Arabidopsis thaliana: one gene and its partner. The protein of the gene in region 1 interacts with the protein of each later gene in a pairwise test. Each region holds a gene or a part of one and is shown on either strand. Other genes may lie near its edges. The genes, in order: SD3 and TIM23-2.

Region 1 (5,252 bases):
TGAAGCTCCATGAAAGGAGATTCCGACTCTGTAGGGTCTGCTCCGATGATCAGGGCAGCTGCTCCATCTCCAAAGAGTGCAGCCCCGACTAAGTTGTAAGGACGAGCTTTGTTGGGTGGGCGGAACCCCAGAACGGTAGTCTCAGAGGTGGTGAGCAACACACGGCTCCCTGGGTTGTTCTCAGCAATGTCTTTGGCCACGCGCAGCCCACTCAAACCTCCATAGCATCCAAGAAAATACAGCATCACTCTCTGAACCTCGTTGCTAAGGCCCAGCTGTGCCGAGAGGTAAAGATCACCTCCGGGCAAACGGAACTCACTGGAGGAAACGTAGACAAGATGAGTGATATCTTCCACTGCCCTTCCCCATTCCTTGATGCAAACCAAGCTCGCTTCATATGCCATCTGCACAACCGCATCGTTTGCAATCTCAAGCCTCTGTTTGATGGTTGGGGAACCCTCGGTTGCTAGTTCAGGGTATTTGTGCAGCGTCTCCCGTGACATGACTGTGTAGCGTGTCTTGACAGTTGTGCTTTTGCCTAACATCACCAAGACACACAAACACGCTTATCTTTGCACAAGTGCTCAAAGAAAAAAAGTTGTCAAAGAAAGTAGAGGGAAGTTACACAAGTGTTGCAGCTTGTCTTTGATAGAAAGGTTATCGCATTTGATTTCACGGAGATACTCCTCCACGAGATTCTCCTGGGAAACAACATTGCTCGGCAAGGCCTTACCGAGAGCAAGCACTGTCGCCTTCCCCTGATAAGCAACACGCTTTTGTTTCTCTACCCTTGCGGACACCAACATCTTTGTGAGTTCACAATGAAATAAGAGACAAAGGATTAGTGTTGGCCTTTTAAGTCATGGATTGTGAAAATAACATTAAAAAAGGGCATAGAAAATGTGGGTGGTGTGTTTGTAACAAACACAGACAAAAACCCTAAATAAACTCAAGGATGACACTTTGAATGATCCTTCAAATTCCTCTTCCTCCTCCTCCCTATATTCCTGCATCATCTATTTGAGGCCCAATGATAAAGGAGAGAGACAGAAATGGTGTATAACTTATACAAGAAGCAAAAAGCATCACAAATTATACAAATGATTCAGTCCAGTTATAAGGAGCACGATCAACAATTAAGTAGTCTCCTCTGATGTCCTTGGCCACTCTGATCTCACCGTCCATATACACATTCTCAAACCTGTGGAACCAAAACCCAAACTCACTCTCTTTATCTATACAAGTAGCTCCGAAGAGGAAACAGAGAGAAGTCACTCACCAGCCCTTCCCAAATGGTGGCAGTGGGAGCTCCCAGTTCTTCCCTCTCAATACCGCACTATTGAATCTGAATATCAAAAACGCTATCAACTAAGCTATGATGCTACACATTTCGATATCAGAGCGTACGAAGAAGAAGTGGTTTTTGGAACCTGAAATTGACTCTCTGCGGGGAAGCGATATCGATATCGGAGCGTACGAAGAAAACCCCGTCCGGCGGGAAAGTGATGACGTTATTGAGGATCCGTTTATTCACATCGATCACCTGCAAAACGTCTCCGGCGGTCGTCCCAAACAAGCCTGCCTTTTCTATGATGAACAACTGTTCCTTCTCCGTCGTCCACAAGAGCCGCCACGTGGCAGATAGAGAGTCGTCTGTGGTGATGGAGCTGCGCCCGATAACCGTCATGGATTCGATGGCGTTCACGATTTCATCTCGCTTCTTGGGGTCTTTCTGGGTTCTCAGACCTCGATCCTCCTCGGAGATCAGCTCAAGCAGCTTCCTCTTGGCTCGCTGTGCTGGATTCGCGAAGATCGAGCAGCTTGTTCGAAAACCGGCACGACGAGTGCGGCGGAGTGGAGGAGAACATGCCGACAGCGAGAGCGCGAGCGCCATGTTTGCAAATTGCAATTTCCATGGTTAGGTTGTTGCACGAAGAAGAAGAAGAGATACTCTGTTATTTGGGTTTCTTTTCTAAAAAGCCCATTTGGGTTTTATTTGCTTTATCTCATGAGTCTAAGCCCAAGCCCAAGGAAATAGCTTGCACGTGCGCGTCACGTGTCTACGATAAAACCCCAGCAACGGCGAGCGGCTTTGCCTTGCTCATTCAACCTCGCTCGTCGTCGTCGTCGTCTCCACTTCGATTTTTCAATCAGTAATATTGGTGGTTCAGAGATGATGATGATGAATCTTTTAAGGAGATCAGCGATAGCCATCGGCCGCCAATCAAAATCGAAACTGGCGTCGTTTTCCTCCGCTACACAACCTTGTTCCGGAATCCCAAAATCGGTAAGGCTTTCGTATTCCATCTCACTCTGCCGGCATTTCTATATAATATTGGCTAAAAGCTATTGGTTCTTCTACTACATAGACACGGATTGTTTAGGATCTTGTGAAAATTGAGGTCGTTTTTTTCAGTGTCTCTAGTCCTGTTTGAATTGAATCTCTCTAGTGTCCTTGATCTGGGGAAAACTTACAGTGTTACTTTTGTTATATATCAGTCCAAGAGGGTTTTTAGCAACTCATTTCTTTCAAAGGTATTTTCTTCCCTTTACTTGTTAAATATTTGCTTCGACAACATTTTCTTTGCTCTTTACACCCTTTTGGGCTTATATGTTAGTCTCATACCTCTCATCGTTTTTCTTATGCAGGACTCTACTGGAGCTAATGGTCAGCAGTGATAATTGTGTAATCAAACTTCAAATCCTAGTGTTGATGTGTACCTTGTTGTTCTGACAATTGTCTGTTATACAGGACTATTGTTTCGCTTCCGAAACCCGCAAGCAAGTATATGTACGGAAGCTCGTCCAAAGAACATCAACTCATCTTACTTTACCAGATCTTTTGCATCAAGAACTTCAAAAGAACCTGGGAATCAGCAGAATAAGGTGTTTCTTCCTACAAGTTTCTACTTAATGTCTACGTTATGTGTTTGCCATTTATCACAACGCAAGCCGTCAAAAGCGACAGACAGCTTCTGTCATCTAATAATGATGCTTGCTTTGCCAATTGTTTTACAGGCTAAGAAAGAGGTGACGACTGTGGAGGATCCTTTTGATTCTCCTACATACCACATCCCGGAGAAGCCGGTGACCTTTACAGAAGGTGCGTCCTACAGTCTTGTTATTCTGGCTGGGCTTGGTGTCGCTGGAGCTGCTGGCTACGGTGTGTTTAAAGAGCTCATTTTTCAACCAAAAGAGTGAGGCTTCAGAAATCTAATTTGATTTATCTGCTCAGACACTTGGATTTGAGTAATCTAAAGACACCATTATGTATTCTAGGTACAAGGTCTTTGACAAAGCCTTGAAGAGAATTCAAGATGATGGTCAGGTAATTAGAAACTAACTCTACAGATTGATCATAGCGGAGGGGTGGTGTATGAAACAAAAGCATCTGTTTATAAAATGAAACAATTTCTGTGACTGTGATTGTCTTGTTAACTAGGTGAGGGTTAGGATTGGATCCCCCATCAAAGGCTATGGACAAGAAACTAGAAACCGAGCTGCTCGTCAACGTATACCCAACAGAGTATTTACAGATGAAGACGGAGTGGAGCATGTTGAGGTATTTCATTGTAGAACCTCTATTGCGCTTGGATTCACATTCTTGCTATATAAATTGTCTAGAGTTTTGCAGGTTTAACATGATCAAAATTGAATATGCTTCAGGTAAACTTCTACATCCGTGGGCCTCAAGGAGCAGGGAAAGTGTACACGGAGATGTTTAAAGACAAGGCAGAGAAGGAATGGAAATACACGTACCTGATCGTAGAGATTTTAACACCTTCCCCAGCCAAATTGATGCTGGAGTCTTATTTGCCTGCCTAAAGCACTCGTATTTATGACTCAGCAGATCCGGAAAACATTCAGAAACGGCTTAGATTGTTTTAGTTGGGGTGTTGGAGAAAAGAGAGAGAATTGTGTTACACATGAGCTGTAGGAATGACTTCTTATCAAGCAACTGTTTGCTAATTGAAAAACAAGTCTAAACTGTGTTTATGATCCTCTTGGGGATGTCTAGGATTTTGAACCGAATTCAAGTTTGAGGCTTGATAATATTTTTATGCGTAAACATGAAACAGAGACATGGAGAATGCATATATCATGAAGCATCAAGTATACAATAGAGGCAATCATGGATCAAACGGTGTTTATGGTATCAGTAAGACAGCGGAGAATGCAACCGGGACCAACTCTCTCTCTGAGTTTCCCCGAGCCATCAAGGCTACAAACATCTCGACTACAAGGGCCAATCAAATTACATAATCACGGAAAAAACAAGGATAGATACAAGCAAACCTAACACTCGAGCAATAATTTGAGTAATAGAAACAAGAAACCAGAAATCGAAACGAAACGGAACGAAACACAAGATTTCCTAATTAATCTTGTGTTTAATTAAGAAAAGAAAACACAAAAAAGTTGAAAGGTTTAGTGGTGCATCCACGTAGCAAGACATTTTAGGTGTACGTCGACCATATTGTTGGCCGTTTATAGAGCATCATCCACTCTCCTCGACGAGCAAGATCATGCCGCCTCTGGATTCTTCTCATTCATCGGTGTTCCTGCGATCCCCTCCGTAGCACCCTCCGCCTCCTCAGCGCCTTCCCCGTGTAAATTACCGTTCTGCATGTTTAGAAATTTGACGTGGAAATTGTTGCAATGTAACTTTCTGTGATACTTGGCTATTGTTGCAATGTAATTTTCATTGAAGTCAGTCACCAATGACCATTGAACAGATGTTTTAAAATGTCCACGTAAGCAATTGTTGTTTGGAACGATTTTCGGTTAGCATTCGTGCCTTTTTTACCTCAATAAAAGGCCGTGGCATTAACTCACTTGTCTTGAGACGTTATGTCGTTAAAACCAAGCCCAAAGTTAATTTCGGCCCAAATCGTTTTCAACTTTCCCGCCGTCTTTTAACTTTTTAGATTTTTGGTGATGGTTTTGGGGGGAAAGAAAACAGAAAATATAAAAATAAAATTTCCGCACTCCCGACTCTTGGTGTGGTAGGCAATTCTGAATCGCGAGGTTTAGTTCTCCGGCTGAATCAGAGAACGACGAGTCGGAAAAATTCGAAACTCTAGAACTGAATAAATGTCGACGTGGCAATTATTTCCCGATTCCAGCGGCGATGGTTTCCGGTGGGAAGTCGCTGGCCGGATTCTTCAGTCCGTCTCGGATTCTACGCCAACCAAGGCGCTCGAATCGACAGCTCCTCTACCTTCTATGGCCGATCTCTTGCTCCAAGGTGA
Region 2 (3,657 bases), on another chromosome or scaffold:
AATAGCAGAGAGAAATTTGTCAAACCTCAATGAAATGATAAATGGAACTGACATCAGATCCATTACCATCGGCTAAAGCAGAGAGAGCTTCAAATATCACCCCGTCATACCTGAAAATAGGGACATATCAGAAGTTTAGCAATACATGATGAAGATTATTACTCAGAGTTGATAGACTAGCATTTATGGAACTAGTCTCTCATCATACTTTCTGGCCTCAAGTATGAGAAATAGAGAACAAAGAAAGACAAACCTAGGAGCATTCTTTGTATTTTCATCAGGGATCAACTCAGAAGGTAAAGTACGCCGACCGGGAGGAGGTGGAATAGTAGGAATAGGCCGTGGAATAGTGACAGCATCATTTGCATCTGCAGCCGGAGTGTCGCCTTCCTCTTTGACTTTTGCTGGCCGTGCCTTATTAGTTAAACTTTGAGTACCAGGGGGAACACTCAAGTTACGCCACTTATCCTATTAAGTATTGAAACACACAAAATTTTCAAACTCTTCTTCATAAGACTACCACCAAGTAAAAGAAATCCATAGCAAAATGAAGGACAGTACTACTCTTTCCACCTCAAATCTCCAACTCAACCAAGCTAGCTTTAGGTATTGCACACTTGAATCAATAAAAAAAAAAACTTATAATCTATCCAAGGAATCTCTAATCCTATAACCAATGATAAGAGGCAACACTAATAAAACCTATTGCCAAAAGTTTTGATTTTTTATGGATCTTAAACTAAGCAGATACGACAGAGTACATAATGCACTCCGGGTTGGTCTCAAATTCGATGTCTAGGTTTAATATATGGTTCAACGAGAGTGATTTTAAAGAGGTGAGTGAAGAAAAGAGAAACCTTTAGGTCAATGTTGGAGCGATGGATGAGCTGATCAGCGAATTCTGGATCCCGGAGAATATTCTTCCACTTTCCAGGACCGTGCTTTCTGATTCCGGCGAGTAACGCCTCCTCTTCCTCCGCCGTCCACTTTAGTTTCTGGTTTCCCATCTAACCCTTGCGTGATTTACCTCGTGCTCTCTCTCTCTCTCCAAGACAATCGGCGTGTAAACGGAGTTAGACGCAGTCTCTTCGCCGTAGCTTTCGCCGGAGGTTTCGTTTATTTTTGGCTCTGCGCAGTTGTGTGACTGCGGGAGGAGGTTTCCAGTTTGCAAAACTTTTTCGATTATTTACTTCCGAATTTATGCTTTTTATTTTGTCTTCTATTTACGCTCTCGAAATTAAATCGAATTTTTTTTTTTGGCCTTTTGACTTAAATTAAAAACAAATAAGCTTTGTATTTGAATCCTTAATTATTTTATTTGAAGTTTAGTTCTCTAAATAAAAACTGATGACAAAAAAAATTCATAAAATTAGGTTCGTTCGTCGTAAAAATATTTCTGACATTATAAGAGAAACACCTGAAAATTCGAGGATGTTTGGTTGTCACGATGGATTGCAATTTTGCAAAGTAATTAAGTATGACTTTGAAAAGTCCAATGTTGAAGAGGTTAATTTTGTAAAAATTAAACTTATGGGGTCACATTCGAAATATCAGCAAATACAGTGTGTGGTGGTAAGAGAAAACCAACTTGGGTTTAAATAGAGAAAATAAAATAAATGGGGTTAAGTTCGAAATAAACGTAAACGCGAGTATTAAGCGAATCTGGTACTGCGCGTATCTGGAAACAACTGGACTGAGTCTTTCCCTAAAAACCCTAAACATAGATTTTTAGTTTAGTTTGGTTTCATTTCTCATTTCGGCAACCAAACCAAACATTCAGAGAGACACAACACAACCACATCATCACACGTTTCTCTCTCTCTCTTTCCTCTCCGTCGTCTCTCTCTCTCTAGCCACCACCAAAATCCTTAAAACCTAGACTTTTCTCTTCCATCGATGGCGGCTAATAACAGATCCGATCATGGGTCAGACGAAAACACAAGACTTTACAATCCTTACCAAAACTACGAAGTCCCAATCAACAAATCTCAGTACCTTTACAAGCTTCCTACCTCCCCTGAGTTTCTCTTCACGGAGGAGGCTTTAAGGCAACGTAGATCTTGGGGTGAGAATCTCACTTTCTACACCGGAACAGCTTACCTCGGTGGCTCCGTTGCCGGAGCTTCTGTTGGAGTCATCACTGGAGTCAAAAGCTTCGAATCTGGCGACACTACTAAGCTCAAAATCAACAGGATCTTGAACTCTTCTGGTCAAACTGGTCGAACTTGGGGTAATCGGATTGGTATCATTGGATTGGTTTACGCAGGGATCGAGAGTGGTATTGTGGCTGCCACGGATAGAGATGATGTTTGGACCAGTGTGGTGGCTGGTCTTGGAACCGGAGCTGTTTGTAGAGCGGCGAGAGGAGTGAGATCTGCAGCTGTAGCTGGTGCTCTTGGTGGACTTGCGGCTGGAGCTGTTGTAGCTGGGAAGCAAATTGTGAAGCGGTATGTGCCCATTTGAAGACTGCAAGAGTCTAATTGGCAGACTCTTTTTCGGGTCGTTGTTGAAATTTTTGATAGGGGAAATGGTGAGAATTTGATAGGTTTGGTATGTCTTGGAATCATAAAAATGAAAACTTTATTTGGTTTCTAGAGGTACAACAAGTCTGTATGTCAAGTCATAATGCAGTTTCACTTTGAAGAATAACCTGCAAACCTTTTTCTTATATTCATACTGATTAAATGTTTTGCCGATTGGTAATTTAATTTGTCATGAGTGTGTTTGTTCTAGTTAGTGTTTTATGTTTCTGTTTTTGATCAATGTTAACTCTTTCTTGATTCGTTGAGAAACTGATGTGTTGTATTACATTTGAAAATGAAGCTCTTCTCTCAAGTTTTTTCTTATCATTTTGTTAATTGGGATGGTGTAGTGTGTTCACATAATTGTATACCTCTGTTTATCTCATTGAGTACTAACCTGATATTTGATGGTGTTATTTTGTTACCTATTATATCCCCCTGGTTCTATTTCTCTGGACTGTTCTCTGCTCTTAGCTATTAATTTTGTCTCCAAGATTTCACAAGCTTATGATGATGGATCAGTCACTTTTGGTTTTGTGGTTTTTGGTTCTCAAGTCTCAGGCATATTGTGTAGCAAACCTTCTCTAAACTCTTACCGTCTCTAGACCTTATCAGCTGCTCTAAATGAAGAACAAATAGTGTCCTCTAATCTTTTTATTAAAGCCTTAAACTTTCAGTTTTGCAGCTTGCTTAGAATTTTTGTTTTGTTTCAGAAGATCATGTACCTGCAAAATGACATTTCGTCTGATTTCTTCATTCGAATGAGGGTCTTTACATCAATAAACAAGTCTTCTTTAAAGTGTAGAATTTTACATGAACAAAACTAAAAGAATGTTTCATATACAAAGATAAGGGAACTCCCCACACGCTATGGGAGATCACCCCACTGAACTCTGGAAGGAGCACAACTCATAAAAGACCAACCGTTGCCTTTGTACTTGCTTGTATGTGATCTTGGAGGTCGACTCCTTCTAGGTATAGGATGGTTACGGGTCTTAGAAGGATCAAGATAGTCGTGGATCTCAGGTACTGCCATTTTCAGCTTCTGGTTGATCTACGTCGAATTTCCATGTTTTTATCAATACTCAATATGATTTTCTCAATTCATCCTCTATCTACATGGCACAGAAATTAT

The links.
Region 2: the proteins of SD3 (region 1) and TIM23-2 interact in a two-hybrid assay, tested with the Arabidopsis thaliana proteins (one study listed by BioGRID).

The regions. Positions count from the first base shown.
Region 1 is NC_003075.7:10,207-15,458, reverse strand, and holds SD3 (import inner membrane translocase subunit), read left to right. Parts: upstream 1-2,099; 5' UTR 2,100-2,173; coding exon 2,174-2,287; intron 2,288-2,499; coding exon 2,500-2,535; intron 2,536-2,649; coding exon 2,650-2,668; intron 2,669-2,752; coding exon 2,753-2,886; intron 2,887-3,018; coding exon 3,019-3,197; intron 3,198-3,279; coding exon 3,280-3,328; intron 3,329-3,442; coding exon 3,443-3,562; intron 3,563-3,666; coding exon 3,667-3,825; 3' UTR 3,826-4,644; downstream 4,645-5,252. Other genes in the region: AT4G00040 (Chalcone and stilbene synthase family protein), read right to left, coding at 1-538, 626-806; AT4G00030 (Plastid-lipid associated protein PAP / fibrillin family protein), read right to left, coding at 1,093-1,201, 1,280-1,345, 1,431-1,894; BRCA2(IV) (BREAST CANCER 2 like 2A), read left to right, coding at 5,095-5,248.
Region 2 is NC_003070.9:27,381,681-27,385,337, forward strand, and holds TIM23-2 (translocase inner membrane subunit 23-2), read left to right. Parts: upstream 1-1,684; 5' UTR 1,685-1,875; coding exon of another isoform or gene 1,876-1,896; coding exon 1,897-2,463; 3' UTR 2,464-2,844; downstream 2,845-3,657. Other genes in the region: AT1G72740 (Homeodomain-like/winged-helix DNA-binding family protein), read right to left, coding at 26-110, 254-468, 858-1,007; AT1G72755 (uncharacterized protein), read right to left, coding at 1,876-1,903, 2,101-2,138; AT1G72760 (Protein kinase superfamily protein), read right to left, coding at 3,608-3,637. UniProt on the Arabidopsis thaliana protein: Essential component of the TIM17:23 complex, a complex that mediates the translocation of transit peptide-containing proteins across the mitochondrial inner membrane. Links the inner and outer membranes.